2 linked regions of the Tamandua tetradactyla genome follow. The protein of the gene in region 1 interacts with the protein of each later gene in a biochemical or structural test. Links are inferred from orthologs where the notes say so. Each region holds a gene or a part of one and is shown in the gene's direction. Other genes may lie near its edges.

What was found.
Region 2: the proteins of SNTB2 (region 1) and PTPRN form a complex in vitro, tested with the Homo sapiens proteins (2 studies listed by BioGRID and IntAct). The link is inferred for Tamandua tetradactyla from reciprocal best matches to the Homo sapiens genes SNTB2 and PTPRN.

The regions. Positions count from the first base shown.
Region 1 is NC_135342.1:63,166,973-63,178,512, forward strand, and holds the start of SNTB2 (beta-2-syntrophin), read left to right. Parts: upstream 1-5,656; 5' UTR 5,657-5,700; coding exon 5,701-6,280; intron 6,281-11,540. UniProt on the Homo sapiens protein: Adapter protein that binds to and probably organizes the subcellular localization of a variety of membrane proteins. May link various receptors to the actin cytoskeleton and the dystrophin glycoprotein complex.
Region 2 is NC_135329.1:195,055,029-195,066,568, reverse strand, and holds the start of PTPRN (receptor-type tyrosine-protein phosphatase-like N), read left to right. Parts: upstream 1-4,170; coding exon 4,171-4,228; intron 4,229-4,687; coding exon 4,688-4,738; intron 4,739-5,115; coding exon 5,116-5,229; intron 5,230-7,423; coding exon 7,424-7,520; intron 7,521-8,405; coding exon 8,406-8,667; intron 8,668-8,751; coding exon 8,752-9,100; intron 9,101-9,505; coding exon 9,506-9,640; intron 9,641-10,239; coding exon 10,240-10,274; intron 10,275-10,981; coding exon 10,982-11,256; intron 11,257-11,455; coding exon 11,456-11,540. UniProt on the Homo sapiens protein: Plays a role in vesicle-mediated secretory processes. Required for normal accumulation of secretory vesicles in hippocampus, pituitary and pancreatic islets.

The DNA.
Region 1 (11,540 bases):
ACCAACAAGATCTTGCTCCCTATCAAATGTTCCATGTAATTATGCTGTGCAAATAAGTGACCATACAAGTTAGTGTGTTACTGAAATGTGAATTTTGTACCAAATAAACATCTCTTCCTTTGGTCTCACACAGAAGTTGAAGTTTTGAAAGTCAGTATTATCCTTTACCCTTTAGTCTGGTTTACCTTAGTCCCAACCAGATCAGCTTCATTCATATCTCTAATTGAAGTCTTGATTTCTTTACCTCTTTTAACAGATGGTGTATGGGGTAATGCTGACTTTCATAGCTGCAGAACTCTAGGTCTTGAGTCTCAGATGTCATAGATACCCAAAGTGCCAGCAACTGAGCAGATTATACACACAGAGCTCAGCAACTCAGAATTTAGAAAAACCATCACAACTCCCGAATATATGACTGCTGTAATAGCTTACAATCTAGGAACCTTTACAGTAAGCCTTCCCCTAATAATCTGTGCTCTTAGGTTCAATTCTTTGAGTTTGCACATTTATAATTAGTCATGTTAGTGAGGCATTATAATGTTGGTCTTTTTGTTTGTTTCTGGCTTATTTCACTGAACATAATGTCTTTACCTAGGTGCATGCCTCACAACTTCATCCCTTCTTGTAGCCACTCAATAGTCCATTGTATGCATAGACCACAGTTCTTTCAGTTCATCATGTCCCCTTACACCACTTCCATCTACTGCAAATTGTGAATGCTGTCACCATAAATACTAGTGTGCAAATGTACATTTCTGTCCCTGCTTTCAGTTCTTCTAAGTATATACCTAATAATGGGGTTACTGGATCATATTACTGTGTTTAGCCTCCTGTGGAACCACCACTCTGCCCTCCATGTGGTCTGCTCCATTCTACTTCTTTATGAACAGTGAATAGGGAACAGTATATCCCTCTCTCCGCATTTTCTCCAGCACTTGTATCTTTATTTTTTAAAAAGTTTTATTCACACACCATATTATCCATCCTAAGTGAACAGTGGTTCCTGGTATAATCACTTACTTATGCATTCACCACCACAATCTATATAAGGACATTTCCATTTCTTCCACAAAGGAAGAAAAAGAAAAATGAAGAAAAAAAATAAAAAGGAGATTCCATGTGGGAGACCCAGGTTTGATTCCCGGCCTATGCACCTGCAACAACAAAAAAATCATTAAAAAGGGGAAACACCAACATCAAGAACCCCATACCCTTCTCTTATACCCCCTTCTTAGTTATGTTTAGCTTTGGTACATTGCCTTTGTTGCATTTACTGGAAGCGTATTACAATGTTATTGTTAACTATAAAGTCTAGTTTGCATTGATTGTATTTTTTACATATTCCATCCCGTTTTCAACCTTGCAGTGTTGGCATTCATTTGTTCTCCCTCATGTAAAAGCTTTCTTGTATTTGTACATTTAATCACTATCATTAACCTCTCTAGGTTTTGCTAAGTTATATAGTCCCAGTCTTTATCTTCTATTTTTCCTTCTGGTGTCATACATGCCCCTATCCTTCCTCTTTTCATCTATACTCACACTTATTGTTCAGTGTACTTAGAATATTGTGCTACCATCAGATAGTATTGTGCTATCCGTTTCTAGATCTATACAGTCAATCCTGTTGCACATTCTGTGCTCCTTTAGGATCAAATACCCAATCTCTACCCTCTTTCTATCTATTGAAAACCTGTTTCTCAACTTTAACTCTCAAAGTTTGCTCATTAATGTTAATTCATATTAGTGAGACCATACAATATTTTTCCTTTTCGTTTGAGCTTATTTCACTCAAGATAATGTCCTCAAGATTCATCCACGTCATTGGAAACTTCATGACTTTATTCTGCCTTACTGCTGTGTAATATTCCATTGTATGTATACAGCACAACTTGTTTATCCACTAGTCCATTGATGGGTATTTGGGCTGCTTGCATCTCTTGGCAAACGTGAATAATGCTGCTATAAACACTGGTGCTATAAAAATGGAAATTGCCACACCATTTACCTTTTAAGCATGGAATCAAATGGCATTATGGCATACTCATTCCTAGATAAAGTATAAACTCTCAACTGAAGGTCAGTAGGTAATAATAACAGCAGTTGAGTACTTTTTGTGGAACCTTTACTGTGTGGCAGGCACTGTACTGCTAAGCACTTTGCATACATCATCCCACTCAATCCTCACAACCACCCTTAGAGGTAGAAGGTTTCTGAATTTTTCCATAGAAGAAACTTAAGGCCAAAGACCTCAGTCCCTAGACCATTGACATATAGCTGGTAAGTGACCAAACCAGCATTTGAACTTTGTGTTCTTAATTACCATGCTATACTTACTATATATCTAGTAGGAGGGAGAAGAAAAAAAAAAAAATTCTTCCCCTCAAATATGGGATTTAAGAGAGCAAGAATCAGAACCTTAGTCACAAAATTGTAAGGTGAAACTGAGAGACCTAATCACCCTTATTTCAAAAGTAACAATGATCCCTTTTTCCCTTAGAGAAATAATAGAGATAACAGTTTGAGTAGAGGAGAATAGATATTGATAGGTGATAGGAATAAATGTTAGCAAGAATCAGAAATTTCCTTTTTTAGAGTTAGATAAAATGTCTGTTGAGAGAATTACCTAAGCTGTGTCACTGTCTTTAAGAAACTGTGGAAACATAGGTATACTCTTTATTTCAGGTTTCATTATCCACAGTAAGCATATTTTCACTGACTACTTGAGATTTCCTAGATGATCATTTTCACTCTTCAAGAAACCAATAACCAGGCCACGGTGGCTCAGCAGGCAGGAATGCTTGCCTGCCAGGCCAGACGACCTGGGTTTGATTCCTGGTGCCTGCCCATGTTAATAAAAAAAAAAAAAGAGTTGTTAAAAAAAAAAAAAAGAAACCAATAACCATCAGAGGGATTATTTGAAAAAATCACAGTATGAGAAGCACTGGATTTCAATCAATCACATGCTGAGTTCCTTCTGTGCATGGCAATCGGTTTGGAATAGTGGGGAATAATTATAAGTCAATGGGTGTTCCTTATCCTTCATACATTATAATCTGCTTGGGCAAAAACAAAAAAAAAACAGGCATAGGAAAAACATCAAAAGAAGAATCCCCACCAGTTGGCTAGTAGTTAAAGCTGGGATAAGATCTTGTTAGGTGGAATGAGTTTGAAGGGGGCAGATATTTGGAAGATATCACTGGGGGACACTGCATTAGTTTGGCAGATCTGAAAATAGTAATGAAAGAGAATGTTGACAAGTTAATTCAGATTCTAATTGTGGAGGGCCTTGTAAATACACTTGGAGAATTTGGGCATTTTTTATGGAGGGATTTAAAAAGGTTATTAAGGAAAATTCTTCATGTAATCATACAAATACCAATCTTTGCTTTCTTCTCTAAATGTTAGATATTTTGTTATATGACTTGCTATCTTGTGTAAGTGCCCTCACTTCTAGTTTGAAGATCCTTGACTTTGTCCAACTCTGTTGACCAAAAGGTTTTGATAGTCTTGGAAAGACTTTCCAGCACTTCCCTTTTGCTTTTAAAAGTGTCCTCAAGTATCTAACCCCTGAGTAATTAGTGTTAAAGTGTTAAAAATAGTGCTCATACTCTAAGGAATCAACTAAGTGCTCTCTAATAAGCAGAAATTTCATATAACTCAGGCCTCTGGAGGCTCACCCCTCAGCGGAGCAAATCCAGAAATGTCTGTGACTGCAGGTGCACTTGGGCACATCGGGACCTGCCAAGACAGCGAGCTGGCCTCATTGCAGTTGATTCAGGAGACAGCTGGAGGGTTGAGCTTTTGCTGATGTTTGCAGCTTGGGAAATCCTGTCCCACTAATTGCAAATAGGAATCTATTGTAATGATTTTTTTGGTAGGATACTTTTCTCATTTTAAACTCTTTCTTTAGGCTGTGGGTACCTCCCAGCCCATATCCTTATTGTTTTCATTCCTGGTATAGGAGGCTCTTTAGAAGTTTCTGCCCACATATGAATGTGCATTTAGAGTGGTGCATGGACATGGTTTATAAGCCTCAACGTGTGCTCCACAAGCAATTAGGTATATAGCCCCTTTTACAGGAATTGATGCACTTTCCTTCTGCCTGCCTGGCCCCAAAATGGAAACATGGGATTTCACTTTTAATGCTGAAGGAAAGTTTGAGGGCCCCTTGACCTCATGTTTTTGCTGAGAGCTCTGTTTTCAGCAATATGATTTCTGGATCCCCCCCTTTTTAAAATTTTTATTGTGGTAACATAGATACAACACACAATTTCCCATTTTAGTCATTTTCGTATGTTCAATTCAGTGATATTAATTACACTCATGATATTGTGCTGCTATCACTGTCACCCATTACCAAAACGTTCTCATCAACCCAAACAGAAACTGTACCTATTAGTTTTTATTCCCCAATTCCCCTTTCTCCACTCCAGGCCCTGGTAACCTTAAATCTACTTTCTTTCTCATTATTGAGGTCTGACATATTAGTGAAAAGCACTGGATTAGGAGGTAGGAGGATTTGAAGGAGTTGTGATCTCTGTTCCTCACCATGAACTCTGGACAGGAAGAGCCTTTGGCTTTTTGGCGCTCAGTTTTTTTTCAGCTCTTCTTCCACGAAGCTGGAAAAGGTGGACAGATTATCGTACTACTTAAGTCCTCAGATAAAAACTGTTGCAGGTTCTGCAATATGCACAGCAGCAGTTTGGGGTCTTTTGTCCTGGGAGTTCTCTGCAAAATGAATAAAAGCTATGGGCTCTAAAAATTACCTTAGAGGCTAAATTTGACATACAGTTTCTGGGGATCCCCAGAACAAAGAGATCATGGCCCCCAGATTTACAGAGGCACTTCACATTCATAGCCTGCGGCCTCCACTGAAGCTATCTGTCTCTGTTCACATTGGAATTTTGGCATCTTCCTAAGTAACATCATTCTGCAAATATATTTGAAGCTTACCTATTGTGGCTGCAGGGCTGAAGAACACATGGTCCCCTCTCAAATTATAGGCAAGTAAAAAGTATTACAGAGCAGAGTGGCCAAGTGCTTGGGTTCATGTCACTGGACCTTTGCTTATAGTTTCCTCTTCTTGAGCTGATCGCCCTCCCCTGTCGCCTCTCTGAAGCTGATTCCTGTGCCGAACCAGATGCTCCTTTCACTCTGCTCTCTGTCATTAAGCACATAGAATCATCCCTATTGGTTGTTTATGTCCTTTCTTCCCCCACTAGACCGTGAGCGCTTAGCTCTGGTACATTTTATTCAGCTCATCTCTAGGGCCTCAACAGAAGCCAGACACACGGCTGAGCGCTCAATAAATACGGAAGGAACCAATCGATGCAAGAGTGAATGTGCAACTCAGATCTTGCAGGCTTGCAAAGTGTTTCTCGAAACTGAATTTGCTTTCTGTGCCCAGGCAGCTCAGGTGAATTGCACGGTAGAGAACAGGGGTTTGATAGAGCAGGGGGGAACGAATGGAAGGACGACGTGCAAGGGAGCCCCACCATGCTCCGCTTGACCAGGTCCAAGTCGGCTGAGGGACCCCACTCGCAGCAACTTCTTACCTTCCCGGAAGCGGCTGCGCGGGCCTCTCCCCGCCCCTTCGGGAGGTGGGCGTGGCGTCTCATGAATAATGAATCGCTGCGGGAGGAGGTGCCGGGCCCACCCCCTCGGGCGGGAAGGGGGAAGCGCCGAGGCTGCCTGACTGGAATGAGGGTAGCTGCGGCGACTGCAGCGGCGGGAGCGGGACCGGCCATGGCGGTGTGGACACGGGCCACCAAAGCGGGGCTGGTGGAGCTGCTGCTGAGGGAACGCTGGGTCCGGGTGGTGGCCGAACTAAGCGGCGAGAGCCTGAGCCTGACGGGCGACGCCGCGGCGGCCGAGCCTGAGCCGGTTCTGGGGTCGGGGGCGGCCGCTTTCAACGGCCTCCCGAACGGCGGCGGCGCCGGCGACTCGTTGCCGGGGAGCCCGAGCCGCGGCCTGGGGCCCCCGAGCCCGCCCGCACCGCCGCGGGGCCAGGCGGGCGAGGCGGGCGCGTCACCGCCCGTGCGCCGGGTGCGGGTAGTGAAGCAGGAGGCCGGCGGCCTGGGCATCAGCATCAAGGGCGGCCGCGAGAACCGGATGCCGATCCTCATTTCCAAGATCTTCCCGGGGCTGGCCGCCGACCAGAGCCGGGCGCTGCGGCTGGGCGACGCCATCCTGTCGGTGAACGGCACCGACCTGCGCCAGGCCACCCACGACCAGGCCGTGCAGGCGCTGAAGCGCGCGGGCAAGGAGGTGCTGCTGGAGGGTGAGCGGGGCCGGCGGGCGGGCCGGGCGGCGCTCGGGCTCACTGCGCTCACTTTGTTTCTGTCACCCTGCCCCCTTTGCGGAGAGGGCCTGTTCTCCCCCCCCACCCCGCCGGGAATGCTGTCCGTCCCCGCTCCTCGTGGCGCGTCCCTCCCCGGACCCAGTTTTCTGGGGGCTTCCAGTGTGGAAAAACTGATGCTCCTTGTAGCAAAAGTTGGGCAGCCGCCGAAGCGTGGCTTAGAGCCCCCAAGGGAGGCTGGGTTGCGGTCAGTCCAAAGCAGCCGCGTAGGATGTCTCCCCCCTCCCCCCTGCCTGATTAGCTGACACTAAGAACTAGAGGAAGACCGGACGGCTCGAGTTCTGTAGGTCTCGGTTTGTCGGCTGAGAAGGGCCGGGTTGGCTCTTTCTTCATTCACCTCTGGCTGCCTGGGGCGGGCGGGTCTGTGAAAAAAAAATTCATCCACACTGATGCCAGCAGTATGCTTGGGCAAACCACCAAAACGCCAGTTAATTTATGGGAGTTTAACCCATCATTGGCTCTCAACAATAACAAAAGGAGATCATAGCACTTCATTGAGTCCAGAAAGCTGAAACAGCAAGTTTGGGTGGTTAATGAGCCTTGTTTAACAGTGGAGGCTCACGTGTTTGAACATTTACTGCCAACTAGAGTTTTGCCCCTTTTGCAAGAGACCGGTGCCAGCTTCCTACCCTTCACCGGCGTGCTGCTTCAAGACTATTAAGCCTTTTCTTATATAAGAAGCTTGAAATGGCAAATAACAAGCTATGCTTGAATAGGTAGGATTGTTCTTTATCTTAGAGAGAGAGATATGATAGCAATCTGTAGCCTGGATCTTTTATGATGAATTTTTGGAAATAAGGCAATATTCTCATCTCCTCTAAGGACTCATGCGTGGTGATAGAGTATTATGAATGTGATCTGAAAAGCCAAGTGGTTGCTTCAGAAAGTTTTGCGCGGTAGGCTTTCTTTCTTTTATGGTGATTTAATCATTTAATAAGCATTTATTAGCTGCCTATGTAGATGATAATATAAAAGAAGTAGAGGATGCTGTCCCTGCTTGGTCTCGTTTGGGAAATGGTAGAAAAAATGAAAAACAGCTTGATTATTTACTGCAAACTGTAAGTGTCAAGAGAATGCAAAGTTAGGAAGTAGTGGAAATGGGGGTTACTCAGGGAGGACTTTTTCAGGGAGCTGAAACTTGAGCCAGGTCTCAAAGGAAGTAATGGACTTAGACAGGGATGAGTCAGGAGGGTATTCCTGGCAGAGCAGCAACTGGAGAGAAGGGATGGACGTCGGGGAACCAATCATCAGACTAAGCAGTTAGAGTTCTAGCTTTGGAAAATGCTTTTCACTTTTTTCCAACTCTGCTTGAGAATATTTAGAAATGTATTAGTTTGCAAGTCAGTGATTTAATGGGCTCCAATTGTAAAATTAAGGAGTCTGGCTTTTATAATATCCTATTTATAAGTCCTTTTTATATCCCGTATACTATGTAGTGGGGCTAGACAACTCACTGTCAGAAATTAGTGTTAAAAAAAGGAGTTAAATTATAGGTTATGATTGAGCAGTGTGTGTGTAAAAAAATTTTTTTATCTTAAATGTGTACCTTGAAATTAGTCCAGCTAAGCATTTGGTTATAAATTCCCAGGGCCAGAATACTGAATTCAGTACTGTTTTTGTAGTTCTCAGTGATGACCGGCAAACAGTAAGCCCTTTACAAGATACCTTTAAAAAAGTTTGTTTGTTTTTTTTTAATATAGTTTGAACCTGGTTTTCCTATCAGTAAAATGAAAACCATCTAGAAAATACTACCCAGTATTCATTAGCCTAAAGAAGACACATCTGCTTTTAGAAAGATAATTTACAATGGCATACTTATTGAATGCTTCTTACGTAACACACAGGTTCTACTTTATTTTCCTATTTGGTAAAAGACAAGCAGTTTTGTCTTTATTGGTGTAAGTCAGTATGGTAGGTTTATGACATTTCATTTTGAAGTCAAGGAGTATAAAAAATAAAACTACTCCAAATACGCAAAGTCACTGAGAACAGTGACTTAATTGAAACAGTCAAGCGATATTTAAAATTGAGAGCTGGTGTCCCTTCCTGATAGGCCAGTTTTTTTTTCCCCTCATTATTTTTTTAAAACTTGATTTTGTTTCTTGAATATAGATAATTTTTTTAAACTTTTAAATTTTCTTATATGATATATATACAAAGCAAAGAAATAAAAAAGCAATAGTTTTCAAAGCACTCTTCAACAAGTAGTTACAGGACAGATCCCAGACTTGTAGGCCAGTTTTAAATGATAGATTTTATGCTTGGCCCTTAAGATTTTCATACTGTATTGTCCTTTCAATTAGATGTCTCAAAACTTGAAAACTGCTTTAATATAGCACAGTGATGCTCTTTTATGTTGTGGGCAGGGAATTTCAAGCATGTCCTTGCCACCCTCATGCCGTATCTCTGGTTGCCTGTGCTTAGGGAACTGAGCTATAGGGCCCCTTTTTGTCCCAGTGATTTGTAGGGATTGTTCATTAATTAATTCATCAAACATTTATTGAACATTATCATATGCCAGAGACGCTTGACTCCTCCCCTCAGAGAGCTTAGAGTTAAAATAAGAGAGCTAAGTAGGTAAGTATAGTAAGGGGCTAAAAGTGCTATTATAACAGGTCTGGAGAGGGCACAGCACAAAGGAGAGAGAGTTGTACATAAGTCCACAGTGGAAATCAGAGGTTGAGGATGTACAGGAAAAGGTTGAAGCTTGATGAGAGCTTTGCCCTAAGAAGAGAGAGTTTCATCAGTAAAGACACAGAAGTGCAGGACATTAAGTTTTTCTGCCTAGTAAGGGTAGAGTATGAGCAAGGACTTGGTGGTCAGACAGACCTGAGTTTATTTCTGGCTTTGCTATTTATGGTATGCCTGGGCAAGTTACTAAACCTTGCTCAGCCTCAGTTTCCTCATTTGTAAAATTAAGTGGTAATAATACCTCTCCCAAAGGGTTATTATTCATCTGATAACAATTTGTGCTCCTAGCACTTTAAAAAAATTTATTTTAATTGACAAATCTTCACACACATAATTCCATACTTGGTGTACAATTAGTGGTTCATAATATCACATGGTTGTGTATTCATCACCATGATCATTTTTAGAACATTTGTTTAACTCCAGAAACAGAAATAAAAAAAATAAAAGAAAAAACTCATACATTCTATACCCCTTACCCCTCCCTCTCATTGACTGCTAGTATTTCAACCTACCCAATTTATTTTACCCCTTATTCCCCCTATTATTTATTTATTTTTATCCATTTTTTTTACTCATCTGTCTGTACCCTGGATAAAAGGAGCATCAGATACAATGTTTTCACAATCACACAGTCACATTGTAAAAGCTGTATCATAGTCATCTTCAAGAGTCAAGGCTACTGGAACACAGCTCAACAGTTTCAGATAACTTCCCTCCAGCCATTCCAATATACCATAAACCAGAAAGGGAAATCTATATAATGCATAAGAATAACCTCCAGGATAACCTCTCGACTCTATTTGAAATTTCTCAGCCACTGAGAGATTTTATTTTGTCTCATTTCTCTCTTCCCCCTTTTGGTCAAGAAGGTTTTCTCAATCCCATGATGCTGGGTCCCGGCTCATTCCAGGAGTGCTGTCCCACATTGCTAGGGAGATTTACACCCTTTGGGAGTCATGTCCCACATGGGGGGGGTGGGCATTGAGTTCACCTGCGAGTTGTCTTAGAGAGAAAGGCCACACCTGAGCAACGAACTCTTAGGCATAATTATGAGTAGGCTTAGTTTATCCTTTTCAGGAATAAGTTCCATAGGACTGAAACCCAAGAGCGAAGCCTCAGCCTATTGATTTGTTTGTCCCCACTGCTTCCAAGAATATCAAGAATGCTCCAAATGGGAAAGTTTAATATTCCCTCCTTTCTCCCCAGTCCCCCAAGGGCATTTTGGCTTTTTTGATTCACTGTCCTGGCTCTTGTTAATGGTTGGGAATACAGCAGTGAACAAAATGTTTAAACGTGTGAATGAGAGATAGGACCAGGTTATGAAGGCATTTGTGAGTTAACAAAGATACCCAGGAAAGCATATTGTTAAAATACAGGGCTCCATTTTACCTGAAAAGCAATGCAGGATAAGAATAACAATTGTTTTATGTAAATAGGTTAAGAAAGTTTGTATTTCTTGGATGCAAATGACTTTTTTGAATTTTGTTTTCCTGCTCTTCTACCACCTTTCGCATAGTACATTTTTATTCTTAAATTTTGCATTAAATTTCCCATCCCTTAGATTTTTTTTTTCCCTCTTTCTTCACACTTCGAACCTTAAAACTTGCCAGTAAGTTTGTGCTTGTAGCTTTGGCTAGTGATTCTTAGCACCGATATTAAGACATGCAGATTAGATAGCCTTCGTATTAATAATGCAGATTGTAAACATAAAGTGGTGATGCTACTCAGCTATTAGACATTGTGTATTGAATTTACTGTATCCTTTGTGCTAGAAATAGGTGTATCCAGAAAGCTTCTAAATTTATATTTTTAAGGCTATGAAATTAAATGAACATTAAGTAAACTACATGTAGAAAAGTATTCCAGCAGAGCATAGGGGAAACAGTATAAAGTGCCCAGCTTGAAGTTTGATATTTGATAAAAATGTATATTTTTTTAGGCAGTTCTCACTGGAATATTGTTGAAAGTTCATATTTTATTGCCTAAAAATGATTCTAACAGTATTGTTCCTGAATTTTCTAGAAAAGAAAAAAAAAAAAGTTAAGTATAGAAAGGAGGTGGCCTGGTATGATATTCAACTTCAGAATTGAACATTTTTTTGTATCCAGAATGGTTTGAGATTTTGAGTGATATGTATAATTTGACTCTTTGGGGACATATAATAAATGTACATGTCATAATAGCAACTACTACAGTAGCAAATTCCCCTATTAGGATGTAAAGTTAAAAAAGCTGGTCTGGATTCTTGTACTACCACTTTCTTTATTGTTTGTTGTACAAGTTGCGAGACTCTTAGAGAAGACATTTTACATTTTGTTTCAGACTGCATGTTCATTAATCTGACTCTTAAAAAACAGCTGAATTACCAGGATGCTTATGTTTTTGTACTTGTTTCTTTTTGTTTAATAGCACTTTGTTTCACTTGAATGATTAGATATGCTTATATGAGAAGCTATATCTTTGTAACCAGATTATTTCCTATAGAATC
Region 2 (11,540 bases), on another chromosome or scaffold:
ACTGAAGGAAATATTAAACTTTCCCACCTGCAAGCATTTGGGAACTAGCAATTTAATAGGCCAAGCCCTCAATCTTAGGGCTTGCCTTATGAAACATATTCCTGCAAAGTAAACAGTTAAGCTACTTGTAATTATGCCTGAGTCACCCCCACATTTGTTGCTCGGATGTGGCCTCTCTCTTTAAATCAACTCTGCAGGTAAACTCACTTCCCTCCCTGCTACATGGGACATGACTCCCGGGGGGTATAAATCTCCTTGGAAATGCGGACATGACTCCTGGGCATTAGATTGCCCTTGGCATCATGGGATTGAGAAAGGCTTCTTGGCCAAAAGAGGGAAGAGAAATGAAACAAAATAAAGTTTCAATGGTTGAGAGACTTCAAATACAGTTGTAAGGTCATTCTTGAGGCTTTTCTTATGCAATATATATATATATATATATACCCCTTTCAATTTTTGGTATATTGGAGTAGCTAGAGGGAAATGCCTGAAACCATTGAACCGTAATCAACTAGCCTTGATTCTTGAAGACTGTATAATTATATAGCTTTTATGGTATGACCCGGTGATTGTGAAAACCTGTGACCGATACTCCTTTTATCCAATGTATGGACAGATGAGTAGGAAAATATAGGCATAAATAAATAAATAAATAAGTAAATAGGGGGGTGGGGTAAAAAAAAAGGAGGAATGAGGTAAGTCTACATGCACTGATACGGAAAGTTATCCATAACATGCTAAGTGAACAAAGCAGGTTAATAACAGCTTGTATAGTATTAGTCTTTGTAGGTAAAAAAAAAAACATCTATTCTAGTTATTTTTTCACAGAAAAAGACTTATCAATTTGTTTATAGCAACTAGCTCTGGTGATTTGAGGATTCTGATACTGATTTGTTTGAAGGGAAAGTTATTTTGTTAAAAAACATGCATTATTCCTAATAAAAGCTTTGTTAAGAATATATATGAATATCCATAAGGAAAACAAAACCAAACAAAAAGTTGGTAGGGAACTAGATAGTCTCACAATGTCAAAGAATCATTGAACAGATTATATGATGGTCACAAGAGGAAACATAACCTTACAAATTCAAATATATGGCTATCTCTACCATAATCAATTTATCATCACTAATAATGGAATAGCCAGACATTATAAATCTCCTGAAATGATGCAATTGGAGGCATCCAGCATCACCTATAAAGCATTTTGCTTAAAACAATTTTAACTAGATCTAATCAAGTCTTTAGATCTAACTTTTAGTTTACAAGAACTCCAAGGAATAGAGAAATAAGTAAACATACCAAAGAAACAATCAGACAAATCCAGAAGGTGAGAATTCTGTAGAAACACTGATCTGGCCTCTTCAACAAGACAACAAAAAAAAATGGGGCAATTGGGTAGATTGCAATACCAGTGGTCAATGAGAGGAAGGGGTAAGGGGGTATAGGATGTATGTTTTTTGTTCTTTTTTCTTGTTATTTCTTTTTATAGAATGATGCATATGTTCTAAAAATGATCATGGTGATGAATACACAGCTATGTGATGAAATAGTGAGCTACTGATTGCATACTTTGGAAGGACTGTGTGTGCATGAAGATATCTCAATAAAAATACATTTTTTTAAAAAAAAGACTGACAAAAAAATGGGGGCATGGCAGTGTCTGTATTAATTTAAAAGAAAATTAAGAACCTTAATAAAATGCAATGATGATCCTGGATGTACTCTTGTTTTGAACAAGTCAGTTGGAAAAAAGACATTTTTTAAACAATTTGAGAAATTTTAGTATGAACTTAATATTAAATTATGTTAGGGAATCATTGTAAATTTTGTTAGGTGTCACAATAGTATTTTGGTTATGTGAAAAAGTGTCCCTTGTTTCTTTGATATGCACATTTAAATATTTATAAGTGAAATATCATGATATCTGTAATTTACTTTGAAATACTTAAGTTACACAAATTTGGCAAAATTTCAATAACCTGTTAAAACTAGCTAATAGGTTTATGAATGTTTACTATGTCCTTTTTTTTTTTTACATGGGCAAGCACCAGGAATCGAACCCGGGGTCCTCTGGCACGGCAGGCAAGCGCTCTTGCCTGCTGAACCACCGTGGCCCGCCCTACTATGTACTTTTATCTTTTTCTTTTTTGGATGTTGGAAATTTTTTGTTAAAGTATGAAAACTTTTCGGGGTTTAATAGGAGACTATTAAAGCAAGAGAGTAATATGATCAAATTTGAATTTTAGAAAACTCACTCTCCAGCTCATAGACTGACAAGAATGGAAGCAAAAGACCAGCTAGGTGATTACTGCCACAGCGGTGATACAAAATATGCAGTGGTTTAGATGAGTATGGAGAAAAGTAGACTGACATGCGATGTGTTTTGCAGATATAAGCCATAAGATGGTTGATGGGCTGGCAGGGGTGCAGGGTGTTGAGACAAAGAGAAAACCAAGGTTAATAGCAAAAGCTAGTGTGTGACTAGCAGAGTTTAGTATGTGCCAGTTAGTCACTTTTCTAAGTGATTCACATATATTCAATACATTTAATTCTCACAACTACCGTATGAGGGAGGAACTATTAGCATCCCCAATTTATAGATCAGGAAACTTGGATGCAGAGAAGTTCAGCAACAAGGTTATACCCCAAGTAGGAGGTATTGCCAGAACTGGAATTCAGTTCCTTCTTCTAAGGACGACATCTGAACCATTCATTAAGATGGGTAAGGGTATCTATTCATTTTTCTGCTCTTTGCCTCAGGGTTTACACTCCCGTTTCACTTATCTTTCCTGGCCCTCACCCAGTTATAATCCTTTTCTCCAACCCTGGGACTGGGGGATAGAGGTGGTGGTTCTGGGCAGAACATATATCCAACAGGGATGTGGCTGGCCAACTGGGAATTCTAGTGAGGCGCCTAGTATTTGGTGGGGGAGGAACGGAAAGGGTAGGCACCCCGCTACGACTGGGCTGTTACGCCATATATGACGCAAATAGGCCTAAGAACCGGGGGTGGGCGGTGTCGTCATCACTCGCTAGTACTGGGTCGAGCTGCCGCGAGAGGAGCGCGCAGACTCCGCCTCGTGGCCGCTCTGGCCGGCTCCCGCCAGCGTCGCTGCGGCTCAGGCCCGGGAGCCAGCGCGCCGAGCTCGGAAGGATGCGGCGCCCGCGGCAGCCCGGGGGTCCCGGAGGATCCAGGGGTCTTCGGCTGCTCCTCTGCCTCCTGCTGCTGGGCAGCCGCCCGGGGGGCTGCAGTGCCATCAGTGCACACGGTCAGGAGGAAACGTGGGAAGGGAGGGACGGAGAGCAAAACCAGGGCTGAAGGGGTGGAGAGGCACGAAGGTGGGAAGTTCAGACAGACAGACTGTGGGGGGGTGGGGAGGTGGGGGCGGGAGTGGAGGGAGACACTGCATGCTGAGAAAGGTGAGAGGGCTTCTGGAAGGAAAGGGGCGTAGGCCTGGAGGTGGGGCTCGGAATCCTGGGGCGGGACCTAAGAGAAGCAGGCTCAGGGGAAGATAGCGGATTCTGGAGGAGGGATGGGGTGCATAAAGCAAAGGGACTTAGAACCGGCCTACAGGACCTCACAAGTCGCATCGAGGCACCAGGGAGGTTGTTGCCGGCGCTGAGGGGTAGGAAGCAGGCGGGAGCAAAAGGAACGGGGATCTTCCGGCAGTAGGAGCTTGAGCTGCGGGCATCGGGGTCTCGGCTCCCGGTAGAGGGCTGGGCCAAGGAAAGGGCCAGGGTTTTTCTTTAGGGCTTGCTGCGATCTTATCTCCGATAAGAGAGGTACAGCGAGAGAAAAGGGCAGCGGAGGATAGAGAGGGAAGGGTCCCTTTCCGACCCCTCCTCACAACCAGGCCCGGTGCTGACTCACATCTGAGCGGACAGAGATAGTCAGCGCTGACTCACGGGCCGGGGGCGGGGTGGGGGGGCACCGGGTGGGGAGGGGCGCAGCCTCGCGGTCTGGCCCCCCCTTTCCCCAGTCGGGCTTGGAGGCCAATGCAGAGTACTTCCTATGGCTCTGGGGGCTAGCAAAGTGGTGCAAGAGGGGTGGGACAGAGGTTCTTGTGGAGACTTCTCGCCCGGTCACCCCTTCCTCTCCCGAAACTGCCTCCAGACGAGCCATCAGCAGCTCCAGGCTCAGAACTTCAGCACCGAGGACAGCGCCCAATGCCCTGGGGCAGGCAAACAGGAGGGGCTGTGGCCAGGATCGTTCCCTTTTCTTTTGGTATGGGGCGGGGCGCTGCCTCTATCTCATTACCCCACAGAGTATGTGTGGGTTGTCGCCTTTTCTGAGCTCCAAGCCATCATTGTTAGAATGATTATGGATATTTGGAAAGGAAAGTCCCCTGTTCCCCAGAATCTAGCTCAGAACTCTCCCACATTAATTCTGTGAGAGTGGAATATACCATCCTTCACCAACACTCGCTTATTCTCCCTGCTGGCCAATTGAGCAAATTGGCTTTTAGGGAAAAGATCTAGTCTTGCAGATCCTAAAAATCCAAATCCAGGTCCCATTCTTCTTTCTCTTAAGTATTCTAGGCACTTCCCTACTCTCCTCCAATCTTAAAGCCTTCCTTGGAATGAAGGAATGGACCCCATCTGTTTCCTGCTTTCTGGGCATGTGCCTCTGATCATCTGATGTGTGGGTGGGTGTCTGAGTCTCTGCTCCCCCATCCCTCTACAGGCTGCCTGTTTGACCGGAGGCTGTGCTCTCACCTTGAAGTCTGTATTCAGGGTGAGTGAGGAGGCCCGGGCATAAGAATCGTAAGACTGGGATGACATAATAAAAAAGAAATGGAGGGGGTGCACGGGTGGCTCAGTAGTAGAATGCTCGCCTTCCATGCGAGAGAGTCAGGGTCGATTCCTGAACTATGCAGCCTCTCTCTTTCCCCACCTCACCTCCCCCCAAAAAAAAAGCTAAATAAAAAGAAGTGGAGGGAGGAAGACCAGAAGGGAGGAGAAATATTGGCCCTGTGGAGAAGGGGGCTGGCTTGGAGAAGTAGAGCTCTCTGAAACCACAAAAGAAAGTGGAAAGAGTTCTGTTCATTTGCAACCTGAATTTGGAAGCCTCCCATTCCAAGCCCCCTGCTGACGCCACTTTTGTGCTCTTAGATGGCTTGTTTGGACAGTGCCAGGTGGGAGTGGGGCAGGCCCGGCCCCTTCTGCAAGTCACTTCCCCAGTTCTCCAGCGTTTACAAGGTGTGCTCCGACAACTCATGTCCCAAGGTGAGGTCTGGGTGTACTAGAGGAGAAAGATGGAACTTGGTTATATGTGGGTGGGAAACTGAGAAGTTTCCTAACCTGAGGACAGGCTTTCTCCTATCACAAACATCTCTGCATGGAACATTCCTACATATCTACTTCTAGAAGAAACCACTGAAAGAGGCCAGCTTCCATCTCCTTAAGGCCAGCCCCACCCTCTGGAACTGTCTGGGTGCTCCAGAGTCAGAAATCCTGGGGTTTTCAGCCAGGAGCGTATCCCACCTATCCATTTAATTCATTCAGCAAATATTTATTGCGTGCTTAACATACAAAAGGCATTGTTTTAGATATTTTGGATAAATCTGGGTATAAAGCAGACAAAGATCCTTGCCTTTTGAAGTTTACATTCAGGGATGGAGGTGGGGATATACCATATAAAGTATATAGAAAATATAAGTATGTTAGAAGATGATAAGTGCCATGGAAAAATAAAATGTTAGAGCAGGATAAAAGGGATCAGAAATGGTGTAAAATACAGTATTAAGTTGGGTGATCCAAGTAGATCTTACTGACACTATGAAATTTAAAGAATTTCATAAGGTACTTTTCCAGAAGTTTATTCTGGAAATGAGTGTTTTAGGCAGACAGGACAGCTAGAACAGAAGCCCTAAGGCAGGAGCACTGATTAAAGGAACAGCTTGGAGACCAGTGTAGTTGTAGAAGAGTAATGGAGGGAAAGAGAAGATGCAGTCAGGTAGATAATGTGTGTGTGCGCACAAATCATTATAGAACTTTATAGGAGCCTTATCATTATAGAGTCTTATAGGATACTGGATGGACATAGGCTTTTACACTGAGTGAAAGAGGAAGCCATCACAAGATTTTGAGCACAGGGTTGCATGATCTGACTTCTACTTAAAAAGGATCACTAGAATGTAAAGAGCCAAGGGCAGAAGCAAGAAGACCAATGAAAAGCTACCACAATAATCCAGGTGAGAGGTGAGGCCAGCTAGAACCAGGGTAATTGCAAGGAAACAGTGAAGAGTGATAGGATTCAGCATATCTATTTAGGGTAGTCAGCATGATTTCTTGACATATTGGATGTGGGCTGTGAAAGAAAGAGAGGCATCAAAGATGACACCAAGGTCCTATTGCTTAAACAACTGACTCAATGGAGATCCCATCAACTAATGTGTGGAAAGTTGCAGAAGGATCAACTTGGGAGGTATTCAGTTTTGAACATGTTTGAACATGTCTATTAGATATTTAAGTAGAGTGGTAAATTGAGTTTATGAGATTGGTCTTCAAGAGAGTGGTCTGGAGTAGAGATATAAGTTTGGAATTCTTTGGAATATAGATGTAATTAAAGCTATGGAGTGGATGAGATAGCCAAAAGATTGAATATATATGAAGAAGAGGACTGAGGATTGAGTGTTAAAGAATTCTAATATTAGAGGACCAGGAGGAGAGGAACCAATAAGAGAGTTTGAGAATGGGGAGCCCGTGAAGTTGGAGGAAAACCAAGACTAACTGGTTCCCAGAAGCCAAGTGAAGTTTATCAAGGAGGAAGGAGTGTCAAATGATGATAGATTAAGTAAGATGATATCTGAAACTTGACCACTGGATTTAGCCATGTACCATAGATTACATGTCCAGAAGCAGGAAAGAAAGAATGGGGGTAGAAAGTAGAAGATGATTCCTTTGGAATAAAAACTGACCTTTCCCAAGAGTACAGTTTCAGATCTGCCTCAGGATAAGATGATGATGAGTTTAAAACATGTGTATAGTACTTTTGAGTTTTTTCACTTCTCTGATCTCACTTGATCTTCACAACAGCCCCATGGAATATGTATTATTCCCACTTTACATACAGATAAGGAAAACTAAGGGTAGGGATCAGCAAAAAGAATAATCGTTAATAGTCATGATGATGAGGATGATAATCACACTTATTGAATGTTCACTATGTGACAGTCATTATTCCAAATATTTCATATGGGTTATTTTAAGGACCACAAAAGTCATAGAAGGTATGAATCCCCACTTCACAAATGAGAGAATTGAGGCTCAGAGAAATTCAGTAACTTGCCCAGATTCACTCAGTTAGTAAGTGACAGAGGCAGGATTCAAACCCAAGAAGTCTGACTCCACTGGTCCCTGTTACTGAACCCTTGGGGTAACTCAGGAGCTAATCTCACTCCATTCTGTCTACTGGCAGGATTGTCCTGGCATGATGACCTCACCCAGTATGTCATCTCTCAGGAGATGGAGCGCATCCCCAGGCTTCGCTCCTCAGAGCCCCGCCTGAGGGACAGGTAGGCAGCCTTTCTTGACAACAGTAGCATGGCAAGTCTGTTGGGTCTGTGGTCACTCTGATGGATGAAGGGAAGGGGGAGGGAAGTGGGCATCAAAGTCAGCAGGCTGGAGCTGTGGCACAGGTTAAAAAGACCCTTGAATGGTCACCCTCTGACACTGCCACATATCCAACAGGAGCTGAGCTCATTCCTGAGGAGCCAGCAAAACAGAGGCATTAAAAACTGCTTTGAAAAACACTGACATCTAGTGTTCCAAGATAAGTGAGAAAGTTGTCAGCATGGGGCAAATTATAATTTTGTTGGACCTGAGTTATTTAATACTTGTTTGGTTCTTATGTAGAATTACATATGGCAGGAGGCACCATTATCTTTTTGTGATTAGGGCCACTAAAGCAAGGGGGAAGTAAATGAGGCCCATGGGGCTCAGGTGATGATATCAGATGTACAAGGTGGGTGGTGGGAGGAGGCAGTCCTGAATATTCAAACATACACTTGAAAGGCCACATTTTGGAAACATGGCACATAGAAGCAATGAGCAAGCCTCGAGCTGCAGTTTATCTAGAAAGGCTCCCAGCTGCTCTCTACTGCTCCTGTTCTCCCCTTCTCCATACCTAACCTCAATCTTCCCTAACCTCTGCAGCTGCATCTGGGCATCCTAGGCATGCTTAGCAGGGAGGCAGATGGACTTTGTCCTAGGCTTCACCCTCTAGCCCTTCCCCATGCTACTCTCTCCTCCCTTGCAGTCACCTCATTTCTCAAGAGGACGGGCCCACTCTGATTTGCTAAGGCTGGTTTGTCCCCACCATCTCTGCCTCTTTAGGCTCTCTATACACTTGCTACCACAACTAAAGTACACACAAATGCACACTTTACTTTCCTCCCCAGATCTGGCTTGGTGTCCAGGAGACCTGCCACCACTGGGGAGCTGCTTTTACAGGGCATCCCCACTGGCTCTGCCCCTGCCACCCAGCACCGGCTTCCTCGACCTCTGCCAGGTGGGGGTGGAGCTGGGGTGGGCTCCCCCCTGTCCCCTCTGCAGGCCGAGCTGCTTCCTCCTCTTTTAGAGCATCTGCTGCTGCCCCCACAGACCCCCCATTCTGCTCTGAGTTATGAACCTGCCCTGCTACAGCCCTACCTGTTCCAGCAGGTGAGCCCTAGACTTTAGCAATACCCCAACCCCAATCCTCCAGTCCTGGCTACCCATCTTACAAGGACCTCTGGTTTCCCACAGTTTGGCTCCCACGATGGCTCCCGGAACTCAGAGAGTTCCCAAGCAATGGTCAATGTTGGCCCCCTGCCCAAGGCTGAACCCCCTGCCCTCTTCAGTAGAGCTGCCTTCAAGGGCATGTTTGAGGCCCATCCTGGCCACACCTATGGGGATCCTCCAGGGCCTTCACCTGCTCAGCTTTTCCAGGACTCAGGGCTGCTCTACCTGGCCCAGGAGCTGCCAGTGCCCAGCAGGGCCAAGATGCCAAGGCTGCCAGAGCAAGGGAGTCAGACAGAGGATTCTTCAGAGGACTATGAGGAGGAAGGACCTGGGGGTCACAGGAAGAAGCCTCCTTCTCCAGCAGTCCAGTCAGGTAACAGAGTCCTCACTGTCTACCTCCCTGTCTGTGGGGCCTGCTTGGGGACCCTGGGGACTCCTCCCTAACTATCCATGCATTTCTTAATTTTTCCTTAAAGCTATTCATTCAGTAACTACCTGTTTACTGATAAGCTGATCTGTGCCAGGCACTAGTAAGCACTGGGGATACAGTGGTGAGTGAACCTGGCATGACTCTTCTTGAGATGAAGAGTCAGAAGTCCACAGTGGCCCTGAAGTTTGGTCTTTGCCCTGGAAGGACAATGGCTAAGAAGGGGAGGGCAGGTGTCTGGGTGTTTGAGGAGCTCATAAATGCGCTAAGGTCCTCCCACCCCCCACTCACCCGTCTGCATCCCACGAGTTGATTCCACCCGCAGCCCTAAGTTCTGTGTCTGGCTCCCAGGAGACGTGACTGTGCAGAGACTGGCAGCTGTGCTGGCGGGTTACGGGGTGGAGCTACGTCAGCTGACTCCTGAGCAGCTCTCCACCCTCTCCACCCTACTGCAGTTCCTGCCAAAAGGCGCAGGAAGAAATCTGGGTGAGTGTCCAGGTAGAGACCAGCCAAACCCAGTTCCATGAAGGCTTCTTGCACTGCCTTTTATGAACACATGGAATAGCCTGGAGGGGAAGGGTCAGGGTCAAGGAAAGGGCATTCTTTTGAGAACCAAGTTCATTGTCAATGAAGGCCAGGGGTAAGGTGGTGAACTGAGGGGTCGGGCCAGAAAAGGATGGGAGGGTGGAAATAACGGAAAAAGGAATCAACTGAAGGTGTGATTAGGGATAAGTTGGCACTAAGAAGGGGTAGTTAATGATAATGAGGACCTTGGGGTGGTGTGGCCAGTGTTAAGAATGAACCAATAATTGATGGGTAGAGGAAGGACTGAACAAAGAATAGCTTTGAGAGATGTGGCCAGAGGCTGAGGGAAGCATTAATAAAACAATGAACTATAAAGAGGAAGCAAGAGAAGTAAGGCCATACTTAGGGTGAGACCTGTAATAAGGACTTGGTCAGTGACTGAGGGGAGAGGCCACAGCAGATATAACAGGCTCAGAGTCTTTGGCCCCTCCTCCCCCCTGTGTTGTATGGATTTCAGCCTTGACCTTTTGCCCGAAGTCTCATTTTCCCTCTCCCTACAGGAGGGGCTGTAAGTGTTGGAGCTGACACCAAGAAAGTAAGTTCTCAGGACCTCCCTGACCTATAAGTGCCCCATGGCAGCTCCCTCCACGCCCTGCTGAAATCTAAACTTCAGGGTCAGAACCCAGAATCTGTATCCTCCAACTCCTCATTTTATAAAAGGGTAAATAAACTGAGGCTCAAAGACTACAAGTCGCTGCCTAAGTTTCATATCAAGTTGATGGTGGAGCTGGGACTAAAAGCCAGAATTCTTGATGCACTGTTCTTTTCACTGCAGTCATTACAGATCATGCTCTGAGGAGTCAGGGAAGAGGAGAATTGCAAGCAGGGAGGCTTCTGGCTCCCTGTAGCCAGAGGAGCTCTGCACCTATCTGTTTTACATGTTGTACTTCTAAGATTTTGTGTCCAAAACAAAAGTCTAAAAATCTTTGTCTACTTATTTATCTTAGAGTAGACTCTAACCCCAACTTCCCTTACTCCAAATGTTCTCCCTGCCTCCAGCTCCATCCTGTGTAGTGTTACTGATGCCCCATTCACTCAATCCTTTATTCAGTCATCTGTCCACTTGGCTTACAATTTCTGGGTGCCCTCTCTGTGGCCAGCATGGCACTGGACCCTGGGAGTAGAAAGATAAACAGGTCCTAACTCCACCGAGGGAAGCTCAAGCCCTGGGTGAAGATCTCCCCAGCCCCTCCCTTGTTCATTTCCAGGCTTGGACATACCTCTCGGTTCTCTTCTAAACAGACAATGGAGGTGCAGACACAGGGCGGAGATACAGCGGAGCCCCCTCCTCCCACAACCTCCCTGCCTGAATACTCCACTCCCAGCTCCACCTCTGAGAAAGACCAGCAGGTGCTGAGCTCTGGCTCCTCCCAGCCCCCCAAGACTACCAGCCCCCCTGCCACACCTGTCCTCCTGGAGAAGAAAAGTCCACTGGGCCAGAGGCAGCCCACAGTGGCAGGGCAGCCCTCAGCTCGGCCGTCAGCAGAGGTGTATGGCTACATCGTCACTGACCAGAAGTAAGGGCTTCTGCTGGGGCAGTCTTCCAGTCCCCTAGGGGTGGGCTGCCCTGCCAAGCAGGAAGCAGAGAGCAGAAATCCAGATGTGAAGGAAACAGGGAGAGGGTGGGCTGTCCGCACCACTAGGAGTAGCCTGTTTCAAGAAATAGTGGTAGGAGGGACACCCGCATTCCTTCTTCTGCCTGCTCCCCATCCCCAGGCCACTAAGCTTGGCTGCAGGAGTGAAGCTGCTGGAGATCTTGGCTGAGCATGTGCACGTGTCCTCGGGCAGCTTCATCAATATC